Astyanax mexicanus: one gene and its partner. The protein of the gene in region 1 purifies or fractionates together with the protein of each later gene. This does not show direct contact. Links are inferred from orthologs where the notes say so. Each region holds a gene or a part of one and is shown on either strand. Other genes may lie near its edges.

Region 1 (6,425 bases):
AATATAAGGTGTAATTTTGACCTGCATTTCGTCACTGTCCAATGAAAAACAAGCATCTCCAAAACAGCAACAGAATATATTTTTTTAATAGAAGTCAATGTAAAATAAGTTTATTTCAGGTTATTTTTTCCAATTTTTCTTTTGGTCTGTTAATCAAGAAATCTTGACACAATATAAGGGATAGTTTGTCTGTTCAAATTATGTAGTAAACTAAAAATCGACAAAAACAGATATTTTTTTTTTCATTGGACAATGACGATTTATGTATTTGTCATATTTGTCTCCCATTTTATTCCCATTCATTTTGCCTCAACCAAATTCCCAGTGTCCCCTTTATCTGACAGCCACCAAACTACATGTACTCATCTGTTTGTATTTCTTTCATCCCTCGCTCCTTCCATTGAGCTTCACAAACATTCTGTGTTCCCTTCAGGAAATGCACATTTCTGGTTATATTACTGACCTTATAAAAAGCTTGAAGGAGTAGCAAACATAGCCCATAAAACACTGCCTTTTAATAAAAGAGACTTCTTTATTCATTTAAATTTCTTGATGGTCATATGGTCATGCTCCACTGCCAGTGGATACACCAGGTAAACATGTCTGATATTTGCCACTACACAGGATACTCCGTTTGGATGATATTAATAATATAAATAAGGTGGATATGGAAGTGTGATAGTGGGATACAGGGATGATGAAACACCTAGAGCCTAAAAGTAACCACACATAAAATAATTTATGCTCACAAACACACGTTCTTAAAAAGAAAATGTCTCTCATAATTTAAAGACCCATCAACATGATGTTCCATATTTTTAATAATATTTCATCCATCTCCTGGAATACTGTCCGCAGTCTGCATGTCAGATCCAGCAGTCCATCATCAGCTGTCCTCGTTGGATTTGCTGAAGACTCCCAGCTGTTTAGTGTTCACATCTTTGAGCTGTTCTAGCTGCCGCTGACCGCGTCGCAGGAGGTACTCGATGTGCATGATGTCTGTCTTTTTAATAGCAGCATTCGCTCGGAACTCCTCCTGTATCCTCGGGACAAACCCTGGCTTGTCTCGTCCTGCGCGCAGAAACTGACGATACAGCGACAAGACCTGTTTCTGTATCTTACTGTGGCGCGCCATAGCGATTCCTGAGGGAGTGTGGGAAGAGAAACCTGGAGAAAATAGAGACAAATGCAGACAAATATCAAGTGAAACAATAATTTGTGATGTTTAGGTAGAAAATATGAAAACTATTTTATGGTACTGTGAAAAATGTATGTATACATAAACAAAATAATTTCTTAAGCCTATTTAGAGACAATAACCAAACTGTATATTTCATTACACAAAGGCTAACTAGTCCAGTTTAATTGGATGACATGAAGCATATTATGAATAATAAGAAAGTATGGGAGAATTAAGTTGAACTGCTTGAATTTGTGCACCAGGAGTGGCAAAAAGTTATCCAAAAGCAGTGTGTAAGACTGGTGGAGGATAACATGCCAACATGCATGCAAACTAGGAATATTCCACCAAATATTGATTTCTGAACTCTTAAAACTTTATGAATATGAACTTGTTTTATTTGCATTATTTGAGGTCTGAAAGCTCTGCATCTTTTTTATTATTTCAGCCATTTCTCATTTTCTGTAAATAAATGCTCTTAAATGACAATATTTTTATTTGTAACTTGGGAGAAATGTTGTCTGTAGTTTAATGAAAAAACAACAATGTTAATTTTACTCAAAACATAAACCTATAAATAGCAAAATCAGAGAAACTGATTCAGAAACTGAAGTGCTCTTTTATTTTTTTTTTCCAGAGCTGAATACATTATATATACAAATACTCAGACAGTTAGGCTAGCTAACTCAGCTAATAAACTAAGCTAAGCTAACTACTGAAACACCACAGACTATTCTACTTTTATTTATAGCTCTAGGTATTTGAAATTATTTTCTATAATGGAGGTAGTTAGCTAAGAATTACCATGACCGGAGTGAACTAGTTAATTATCTCTAGATAATAATAAAGTAAGAGTTTAGCTAGCTAAGCTAACTAAGTTAAATACCTACCTTGGTAGCTAACTAGCTTATTTAAAGTAAAATCACAGAGCTGTATTATCTCTCCATAAGCAGCAGTACTGTATCTTACCTGCTGTGTCTCAGTCCTGCGGATATTTCGTGTTAGTGACAGCAGAAAACTTTAATTTGTATAAAAATCATCTTATTAATTTCTACAGTCCCACTCCTCTGTTTTGACCTTATGCTGTTTTCTTCGTTGTGTCTCTGCAGCACCGGTTCTCTACAACACCGCCCACTAGTGGCTGAACCCTGCAGCGCCTCTAATTATTACACAACATTAACTTTTTTTACACATTTATATAGTCCAATCCTTTAGTGGAGGCATCAATAAACATATTCTAAAATCTTCCTTAATAATTAAGGAACTTATCAACACGATGTTTAATATCAACATTTATTTACTATTTGCTTTTTATTTACTGTTGACCTGTACAGTATCACTGGTCACTGCACTGCTTTGGACACACCTCTTTTCTTTCTGTGTTTTCTTTCTTTTTATGATTTTTTTACATTGTAAATGTAATATTGAAGACTATATTACAGCTACAGTGGTATGGAAAAGTTTAGAAACCCCTGATCATTTTCCTGATTTTCCTTTATAAATCATTGGTTGTTCAGATCAGCACTTTCAGTTAAATATATCATATAACAGAAAAACACAGTGATGTTTGAGAAGTGAAATTTTTATAGGATTAAATTTTTATAGTTTATAGGATTTACAGAAAGTTTGCAATAATTCTTTAAACTAAATTTGGACTCCCTTGTTGTTTTATTGATTGGCATATCTTTAGCACTAATTATTGGAGCACAAAATGTGATTGTAAGCTCATTGACCCTTGACCTACATTCACAGGTGAATCCAGTTATGAGAAAGGGTTAAGGTGGCCAATGGCAGGTTTTTCTCCTCTTGAAAAACTCTTAATGAATATGAACCTGTTTTCTTTGCAATATTTGAAGTCTGAAATCATCTTATTTATTATTTCAGACATTTCTCATTTTATGCAAATAAATGCTCTAAATGACAATAATTTATTTGGAATGTGGGAGAAATGTTGCCTGTAGTTTATAGAATAAAACAACAATGTTTGTTTTACTCAAACATAAACCTATAAATAGCAAAATCAGAGAAACTGATAATCTCTTAATTTTCATATATATATATATATATAAAGACAAAATTACCAACTCTCTAAAAAGAGCAGTAATTCCCATCACTACTGTACACAAAATATTTTTTACAGGTTTTACAGAAAGGAGGCAAAGAATATATGCAAAAAATATATGATTTTGTGGTTGATCATAAAAGACAAAGACAGACTGCAAAAAGGAAACATTTTCTTTTATTAAGAAAATATTTTCTACATCATCCTGTGCAAACTGAGTTAATCTACTGAGTTAATTTTATAGCCTACAATTTTGAGATGTGAGACTGAACCCGGCCTGCTGGAGTGCAATACTGCGAAAGTGCAATACATACCATATATTAAATATATTGTATTTGAACCAGCAGGCTGATGGAGACGGACGTTCTCTGAAGAACAGCCCTGTTTTCTGCAGATACAGGTTGATTCTGGTTAAAGTGTGCCGGTATTTCACTGCATGGAAATACTCAAAGATAGCATTGAGTTCACAGCCATTCCTGAGCTCTGGGACATCTATATTGCATATCATATACATGTATGTTGATCATTATTGCACTATAATTGATTAGATTACTGTAAACACCCTAGAAATGGTAATGGTAAATGATAATGGTACATCATACAGTACATTTTTCTTTCAAACAAACCAAACACAAACATTTGGTCACAATTTCCTATTAATTCAGTATAGAGCAAGACCTCAAGACCTGCTGTAGTACATTAGTTATATTTGCATTACTGGTTACCCTATACATTACACTACCCTGCTCACAGTATATCATTTATTAATAAAGGCACCTTTTATATATTTCTGTATGGGAAGGATGAGGCTTGCTGAACTTTGGCTGAAGCGAATAAATGCTTCAGCGCACAGGTAGACTACCATACAGCAGTTTCAAAGAGGCAGCTTGAGCTTATATTACATAAAACAGAAGTTTCTAAGGAAAATAACTTAGACTGGGGCTAACCTCAAGCGGACGGTGAGCCCCCTGACTGAGGGGAACACAACCCCTGCACTTCACATCATGCTTCTCCCATTGGCTCAAAGGCCTCCAACCTGTAGCTGCTAAGCACATTCAGCTTGTGCCATGTGGAATTACAGCTGATTCAGCAAAATTCAGTATTTAATATTTTCCAGCTTTCAAAATCTGGTTTACTATATGTTTCAAGCAAATACACATAAAAAACATCGTGATACAGCTTAATACATTCTGACAGGTGTGCTGTTCTCAAGCTGAATCAGCATTTATGAGCATATAATTCGTACATACATTCAGGTATGATTTTGTTTTTTGGCCCACATGCTATATATTGATTAATATCGGACTTATTGTTTGCTGAATAAAGAATAAAGGAAAAAACAGAAGCCTTGAAAGAAATGATTACCAATCACTCCCAGCATGCTATCAGGTGATATGCTGAGCTGGAAAAAATACAGTATGTAAATACTAGATAAATTAAAGAAATCGAATTAAAACATTTATATAATGGAATGGAACCCAAACTAAATATGGAATAAATATAGTTATGGTTGACTGAGTGCTTACTTGAGGTTTAAAAAAAAGAGCCTAACCGGTAAAGGCTGGAAGACCCTAAATTATGTATTTTCATTGTGCCACAATAGGTCATGTCTAATTTAACATTTACATCCATTTTAATAAGGGGAATGCCACCAATTTTTCAGATTAATTAGCAGGGAGGTATATGTATATTTAGTAGTGTTGGAATTTCTTGATTTGTATGATGAAGAAAATATAAAAATAAAGGATTAATTGCACAGAGTTAATACAGTCTGCCTCCCAAAATACACAAATAGAGGGAAGTACCAGAGTTAACATATTTTATGCATGATTTTAATCATTAATTATCACATAATATTGCTGTGATTAATACAATATGTTTGGCCCCACTACTACAAATATAATTATTCCACTTTGACAATCTAAGATTATTTTATTTACATTTAAATATCAGCTATTATACCACAGTTAGTTCTGACTCTGCAATGTGATTGGTAGCTGACAGTAGCTGCATGCCAATTGCATACTACAGGCTAATGCTATATAGTCTTTTTAATAGTGTGAAAATATTAATGTACAAACCTCTAAACTAAGGTGGCCAAGAAAGGCACACAAAGCAGACAAAAGGTGTGTCCCAATTCAGGGGCTGCATCCTTCGAAGGATTAATTTGAAGGCGATTACGTCACTGCGGTGCGACTAGGCTGTCCCATTTCGAAGACTCCTTCGAATGCAGCCGACGAATGCAGCCTTCTTTTCCTCGGAAACGAAGGATGCACCGGGTGTATCCTTCACAGCCTACAGTATCCCAAGATTCATTGCATGCCGACTTATTTCAGCACGAAAAGGCGGAGTCAGCAGAGGAGTCAACTGTATTATGTAGTATTATGTAGTTTATAGATATATAAATACTTATAGATATTATAAATTATATAATTTATATATATATATATATATGTGTGTGTGTGTATGTATTAATGTATTATTTAGTTTATTTATAAGTATATTTCTTTTTATATAGTATTTATATATCTTTAAACGACATAATACATAATAAATATATAATATATAATACAATATATATAAACTAAATAATACATTATTCTATTTTATTCTCTTTTTTCAACTTCATTTCAAGCGCCCTTTTATTTGTTTATGTTCAGTTCCATCCGTTCACATTTAAAACATTTAAGTAACTGCACAGTTTATTAACCTGGACTTAATTAATTGGGTATTTTTTGGTCTGAAGCAAAACTAGAATCAAAATCTCTGGCTCATTTCTCAGCTCTGACTTTGGTTGTGGCGGGTAGAATCTCAAACAGGAAACAGGAAATACTCCGTAGGGTAGACTGTCCCATTTCAGTACTGCCATCGCAGCCTACCCATCCTTCTAAGGACACACCTTCGTAGACCGCGTCCTTCGAAGAATGCAGCCCCTGAATTGGGACACACTGTACATTAAGAAAACGCAGCATTTCAGAAAACATTGCCCTCTAGCGGCCAGGAGCATTTCCGGTGAGGCAATGTATTTGCGTTCCCTTAATGAAGCGTTTCTGAAATGTAGTTGCGTTGTCATATTTTTGTTTGCTTTGTAAATGTTGTTGTTCGCTACGTTTACGTATGTTGCGTTTTAATCTTTTTGTTTGCATTTGGAACTAATAGGAAGTGATGGAGTATTTCTTCATC
Region 2 (7,747 bases), on another chromosome or scaffold:
TTTATTTTATGTGCATTATATTTTGTCGTTACTGGAACATAACTCAGTATTAAAAGGGTTAAAAATTAATTCTGTATTTTCCTGTATTGTATCGGATCGGGACTCCATATTGGCAGATACTTAAAATCAAATGATTCGAAAAATGTAATCAAGACAACTCTACACAACAGGATGAGGATCAGCACTCACGCGTTGAGGTCGACCTCGTAGGTCTGCATGCGGGGTTTGTCTCCGGGTGTGTCCGGGTCCCAGCGGTAAATCTGGAACTTCTTAATCCGCGGCTGAACCGCCGGAGCCGCAGCTGCAGCGGTCTGGACATACCGCAAAGCCTGAGAGAGAACCCAGAAAATAAACAAAGGTAAAATAAACAAGGAGCATTTACAGCACGACAGAACCAGATTCTCCTAAACACTAACAGCTCTCATCTGTGCAGAGAGAGAGGAGAAAACACACAGGATACCGTTCAGATCAACAACGGGGATTTAATACAACAAAACATCACAAACAACAGGGGAAATATGAGATCTGGATCTCATAACTTAATTACGGTACTGTGGGACATATGAGCCAAACAGAGACTGTGATAGCGAGCAGTGGATCCCTGAAGTTGTGTTTCCTTCTAGAGATGATATTAGGCCCCCAAAAAAAGGGAAAGGGCGATATGGCCCTAAAATAATATCGCTAAAATAATCTAATAATACTTTATGGTATTTCCGCGATTACAATACTCTTGGCGATGTGACAAAACACAAAATTAAAAATATATATTTCAAGAATACACTACTGCATGAAAATGAAAATTTAATTTTATTATTGCATTTAATTTGATAATATATATATATATATATATAATATAATAATCATGCACTCCAAATATCTCAATATATCCAGGATTAAAGTAAAATAAACAGATACTAAACAGATATAATCTGTCTCTAGTAGATATATAATGGGAAATGAGAACAGTGTGAATTTTTCTTTTGCTAAAAACAGTAAAAAGGTAGTACCCTGTGATAATTAGGGGTGGTTAATACGGTACGATATTTCAAGGTATAATCTCCAATTGTTCACGATATTCAAAAATGTTTGCGATATTATTGTGTACGATACGATATGACACACCCATCTCTGATTCTACGTTTCCCCAAGAAGCTGTAATATGAATGATGCTGAATCAGCACATTTTAAATTGGCCCGCCATAACATCATAAATACATATATATTTTTTTAACGATATATTGTCCTAGAAATTACTGTGTAAAGTAATGTAATTATATATATATATATATATATATATATATATATATATATATATATATATATATATATATATATATATATATAGTGCACAGTTTGGAGATTTACCTGATCAAGCAACTCTAATAAACTCACCTGTTGGAGCAGGAGATCAGCACACTGATCTGGACTCCGGCCCTCATTACAACACCCCCTATTGTAAACCCATATAACTCTTAAGTAGGGCTGTGTATTGGGTAGAACTTGGCGACGTGATACTTATCACTATAGAGGGGTTTTGATTTAATACATCAAAACATATTGTTGATGTTGTAATCAAGGTGTTACACTGCTTAAAAACTGTATTAAAAAAACAAATCTATACAAATTTGAGTATACAAATTGCCCCCTAGGTGTGAGTGTGCGAGTGCATGTGTCTGTTTGTCTGTCTGTGTCTGTCTGCCCTGCGATGGATTGGCGGCCTGTCCAGGGTGTATCCTGCCTTCTGCCCGATGCCTGCTGGGATAGGCTCCAGCACCCCCCCGCGACCCTTAATGGATAAAGCGGTTGATAATGACTTGACTTGACTTGACAAATCTGAGTAAATCTGTCTGAATGGCATTTAAAATTCTTATACAGCTCTTGAAAGAAAATAAGAGACCACTTAAAAATGACAAGTTTCTTTGATTTTACCAAATTTAAAACCTCTGGAATATAATTAAGAGGAAGATGGATGATCACAAGCCATCAAACCAAACTGGACTGCTTAAATTTTGCACCAGGGATAAAGCAGCATAAAGTTATCCAAAAGCAGTGTGTAAGACTGGTGGAGGAGAACATGGGGTTCCACCATAAACATGAACTTGTTTTCTTTGCATTATTTGAGGTCTCAAAGCTCTGCATCTTTTTTTTGTTATTTCAGCCATCTCTCATTTTCTGCAAATAAATGACGTAAAAAACAATATGTTTTATTTGGAATTTGGGAGAAATGTTGTCATAGTTTATGTAATAAAACAATGTTAATTTTACTCAAACATAAACCTACAAAAAGCAAAATCAGAAAACTGTTTTTTCCAGAGCTGTATGTATATAAAATTATTAAATAAAAGCTGAAACTTCACTAAGCTTCAGCTGGGAGGTTTAGGAAATGAATAAGGGTGATGTTTACTTGTTCCTCCAGCTGTCACTCTACACCACAGTGTAGCTAACTAGTTACATAGCACACAGGTTTCATAACTGTACAGCTTTCATAACTGTACACTAAGCTATCACTATATGTGTGTGTTTAATTAATTTAACTGGCCAAAGAAAGGCTTAATAAGTTACAGCACATGTTTGTTGTCAGTAATTAAAGCTAGATAATATTATTAGCTCTAAAACTATGTAGTTACTGTTTAAAGGTCAGAGGTTCAGCAGCTAGCTAGCTGTTACAGCTAAAATACAAATTAGCTAGGATAACACTAGCTAGCAAACACCCAAAGAGCAGCTCAGTTACACATCCAGCTACAAATAAAAAAGCTGAACTGTCCCCTAAAACTTTTATCTGGTTGACTAACTAACTTAACAGTAGCTAAGCTAATTGTTAGCTGTTAGCATAAGTCAGTAGCTACCTATAAGTGACCTGGCTACGCTGAGCTATGCTAAGCTAACGGGCTAACCGGCTCAATAACACATATAAAAGCCAGAACCTCGCGGTTTTAAGTTGTCTATATTATAAGTTTATGCCGGTAACTGACCGGCGGTGTGTGTAAATCTTACCAGCAGGCCGGAGGAAGAGCGGAGAGCCGCAGCGCCCTGCCGAGCCGAGCACACACACAGCGCCGCCATCGCTACTGTTACAGAACACTGTCCTCCACCGGCCCGTCAGCCCCTGCGCTGCCCCTGACACCATCACCGCACCGCCGCCACCCCGAGGCCACGTGTGGTAGTTACCAGTCAAAACTTTGGAAACACCTTAAATTCAGTGTTTTGCATTATTTAAAAAAATGCATTTTAGATTAATACTAAACTCACCAAAAACTACGAAGAAAATCATATGAAATTATTTAGCAAATAAAAAAGTGTTTACCAGCTAAATACCAGAATGTGTTTTTTTATTTTTTATTCTTCAACATTCTCCAGATTCGTCACCTGAAAATTCACGCTTTCAGTTAACAGCTGTGCTGAACTCGTCAAGAGTTAATTACTTGAATTTCTTGTCTCTTAATAAAGTGTTTGAGAGCATCAATTAAAGTAAAGTCGTGAAGAGGTAGAGTTACAGGTATACAGTGAATAGTGAATATTTGAGTAATGTACTAATCCAGATTATGAGAAGCAACAACTACTCAACTAAATAAAGAAAAAATACTTTAAGAAGGTCATTCAATCTAAAAAAAAAAAAAATCAAGAACTTTGAAAGTATCCTTAAGTGCAGTCGCTATTACAAAAAAAAAAATACATTTAAAAAAACGCCATGACGAAACTGGCACTCATCAGGACCGGCCAATGAGAGGAAGAGGAAGAGTTTATCAGAGTTACTAGCTTCAGAAACCACAAGTTAATATCTCCCCAGAATTTTTTTATTATTTGGTAAACAATACTATCCAACAGCCTAAAATAGAAAGAATAGGTCAAATTCACATGATATACAACCAGCATATCGAAACAAAAACAGAAAGAAACAAACAAACCTAAACAAAAAAAACAAACAAACAGAAAAAGAAAAGTAGGATTCAAATAAAACTGAAAAGCTTCAAAATATGCATGGATTTATTTATTTATTTATTTTTAATTTGTCGAAAATATGTCAATGAGTGTGTATAATTATTTACATCTTATTAGAAATAATGGCATCTTTTTAGCAAATTTAGTTTTGAGTATGTATATATATATAAATATATATGTATGCATATGTGTATATATAATGTGTATATATAAATATACCTAATTAAATTTACTACAATTTTTTCCTTGTGGTCAAACCAAAAATATACAATATATATCGGACTTTGAGAGGAATTTCCTTACCCAATCTCCTCTTTAAGTCTAAAAAAATCAATCCATAAAGAGCAAGAAAAACATAATTTAAAAAAAGGATTTAATTGAGTCTGTGGCTCCTTTACAAAAAACACATGCATCACTTATATGCATGTTTTTTTTTTTTTTACACAAAATAGTATTAACTGGGTTGCGTCTATCCAAGACTTTATATAGCAGTTCTTTTATTTTGTTATTGATAACATATTTGGCACAGGATACGTTTATCTTAATAATAATATTTTATATATTGTTCTTATCGTACTTTATTATTCTTATTTATTATTATATATTTTTTGTTAATTATATTTTAATTAAAAATGTAGATGGTAAATAAATGACCTTGACGGGACTTTTACTGAATAGCGCATGCGCAGTGCGCAGTGGCTCCGGAACAGCAGTCACGCTGCTGTATTGGAGATTAAGGTCAGAGTCACGGCGCGTGTTTCTGATACAGATAGATCATCATGGTGTTTCTGACTTTACCCTGCTGGATCAGGAGCCGAGGACCCGACCGCTACTGGAAGGTGCAGGAGCTGCTGAAGAATGCGCGGGTAAAGAGGAGCTTTTTACCTTTAGAATTTACCTTCAGCTTCACCTTTATATCCAGCCAGCCTCCAGTGCTAATGCTCTGAATCTGAACACACCTGATCCAGACTATGAAGAAACACATAAAAAAAAATCATGTAGTAACTTAATAAAACAGTTAAACAAACCAAAATACTTAAAATAGGCCGGAAATTCTGATAAACTTATCCTATGCAACACAGGGAACTCTTGTCCTTCCTTTTTTGGACTGGTCCTGATGAGTGCCAGTTCTATCATCTGCGCACCTTCTCCGCTTTTAGACTCTTTGGCCCGTTTTTCTGCGCTAGAAATGTGCATCCTCTCCGCTTTTAGACTCTTTGGCCGTTTTTTTGCGCTAAAAATGCGAATTCTCTCCGCTTTTACACTTTTTGGCCATTTTTTTCTGCGCTAGAAATGCACACTCTCTCCGCTTTTAGACTCTTTGGCCCGTTTTTCTGCGCTAGAAATGCGCACCCTCTCCGCTTTTAGACTCTATGGCCCGTTTCTGACACCTAGCGTTCAAACTTTGAATCTCACATTATAAAAACCTGCTTAACAGTATAGGAATATAGTATAGGAGTATAACAGTATCATCATAATGTGGCAAAATAAATAATATAGCATAAAATAATATAATGCAGCAAATAATATTGCAGAATATTTAGTGCATGCATATAAACTGCAAACTAAAACAATTATACAATAAATACACCTAAAGCTTCACAGTAAATAATAGACTACTTTTAAGACAGAACAGCCCTATTATCACAATATGGATTTTTTATGTCATGATATTTCTGTGTCACGATGTATTGTATACAATCTAATATTGCCCACCCCTACTGTATACCAACTCTACCTCTTTAAAACATTAAAACTGATGCTCTCAGAGGCTTAAGAGGCAAGAAATATAAGTAATTAACTCTTGACGAGTTCAGCACAGCTGTTAACTGAAAGCCTGAATGTCTTCTAAGCAAGAGGTGCTACTTTGTTTGAAGAATGTAAAATATATAAAGCATATTCTGGTTTGTGTAACACTCTAAATGTGTTTCTTCATAGTTTAGATGAGTTTAGTATTAATCTACAAAGCCAAACTTTCTAAAATAATGAAAACCACTGAATTTAAGGTGTCCAAACTTTTGACTGGTACTGTAAGTTGATTTGGTTGTATTGGTTCAGAGAACAATAGAGTGTAACACACTCCAGCTCCTATACTGATACGCTGACTTGAATCTAAGAGAGCTAGTTAATTGGGATGCTGCGGCAAAATACTTCATAATTATTTACTGCAGTATGAGATTGCGTTAATGTGTATACATGCACATAAACTGTGATATCATAAATAGGAGCATAAATATACAAACACATAGAGCTTGTCTCCAGCATTCATTGTGTCTTAATCAATATTCTAAGTGAAATATAGCCTTAAAACTTTGATTCATGCTGGAAAACCCTCTAGTAAAGCTACAATAAAGAAAGACAGAAACTAGGAAATATATATATATATATATATATATATATATATATATATATATATATATATATATATATATATATATATTTCACAGCACTGCATCATAGTATCAGTGTTGGAGCAGGTAAAGGTGGTATCATCTGTTGTAATTATGTGTTATTTAATGTTGCAGCACTTCAGGGGCAGAAAGAACCGCTGCTATAAGCTGGCGGTGCGAACCGTCTGCAGGGCCTTCGTCTACGCAACCAAGGCCAGGAAGGTCAAACGACGCAGCATGAGAACGGTGAGACAATAAAACCAGACACAATTTGTGCTTTTGTTTTTAATGTTTTTTTTTTTTTTTTTTTTAAACACAGTTCCTTTCACAAATCCTATACTGCTCTACCACATATCCCACAAAGTCGTTTAGATCCTTGTGGTTGTCGTTTTTATTGAATGCATTTTCTCTCACATTTAAGTCACCATTAGGTTTAATTTTAGTAAAACTTCACAGTTCTTCTTACTCATAGCAAAAAACGCTTGACAGCTAGTTTGGCAAAGTTGCTATAAAATATATTACAAAGCTACTATAATTGTATTATTATTATTAGTAGTAGTAGTAGTAGTGGTAGTAATAGTAGTATACATTTCTAAATATTTCATATGTTATTATTTTTGCTAATGATTTATGTTGTTCTATAAAATTTAGAGAATTGTGTTTATGCAGATTCAGATTTATTTACACTTTCTGCCCCTTTTCGAGACTTAAAGTATTGTAGTATTGAATTAAAGTATCGTTGATATTGAATTGTTTTTTTTTTTTACATATTATAATCTGTTCTGTTTATCTGCTCTGTTTTGCTGCTGTAGTTGTGGATATCTCGTATCGCTGCAGCTTCTCGTGAGCATGGACTGAAATACCCAGCGTTAATACATAACCTTGTAAAAGTGAGTATATTAACCTCTGGTTTGACTGATTTTTGACACTGGCAGAAAATACCATGTACTCTATTTTGAACTGCTGCTGATTTAGCATTGCAGAGTAGCATCACAGCGCTAACGCTCAGAGGAAAGCTCAACGACTCGGTTCTGATACATCAGCTCACAGACGCAGCTTTGTGTTGATCCACATCACCCTAGGAGTGATGAGGGGAAAGAAGAGTGCCATCTACTGTACCCACCCAGAGAGAGCAAGGACAATTGTGATCTCTCTCTCTCTCTCTCGGGGCTCCGGCAGCTGATGGCTGGCGAAAAACACTCCTTGTAACTTTAGAATAAGTGGGCGTGGCTAAAATGCTGTAAAACGTTTTATATACAAACACATACAACTCTGTATATAGGTCCACATATCAGTTATTTACTAATATATTTGATATTAAAGACCTGTACCTAAAGTATAACCCTGTGGGACTCCACAAAATAATTAACTAAATAATTCATATTAGTTCCTACATTATGATTAGTAAATCTGGGGTT

What was found.
Region 2: the proteins of sdhaf1 (region 1) and sdhb purify together in Homo sapiens (co-immunoprecipitation; 3 studies listed by BioGRID and IntAct, with this or other methods). This does not show direct contact. The link is inferred for Astyanax mexicanus from reciprocal best matches to the Homo sapiens genes SDHAF1 and SDHB.

Annotation. Positions count from the first base shown.
Region 1 is NC_064424.1:5,385,858-5,392,282, reverse strand, and holds sdhaf1 (succinate dehydrogenase assembly factor 1, mitochondrial), read right to left. Parts: upstream 2,306-6,425; 5' UTR 2,150-2,305; intron 1,168-2,149; 5' UTR 1,136-1,167; coding exon 887-1,135; 3' UTR 513-886; downstream 1-512.
Region 2 is NC_064431.1:31,483,914-31,491,660, forward strand, and holds the start of sdhb (succinate dehydrogenase [ubiquinone] iron-sulfur subunit, mitochondrial), read right to left. Parts: upstream 3,105-7,747; 5' UTR 3,064-3,104; coding exon 2,995-3,063; intron 330-2,994; coding exon 190-329; intron 1-189. Other genes in the region: mrpl20 (39S ribosomal protein L20, mitochondrial), read left to right, coding at 4,719-4,805, 6,465-6,575, 7,142-7,219. UniProt on the Homo sapiens protein: Iron-sulfur protein (IP) subunit of the succinate dehydrogenase complex (mitochondrial respiratory chain complex II), responsible for transferring electrons from succinate to ubiquinone (coenzyme Q).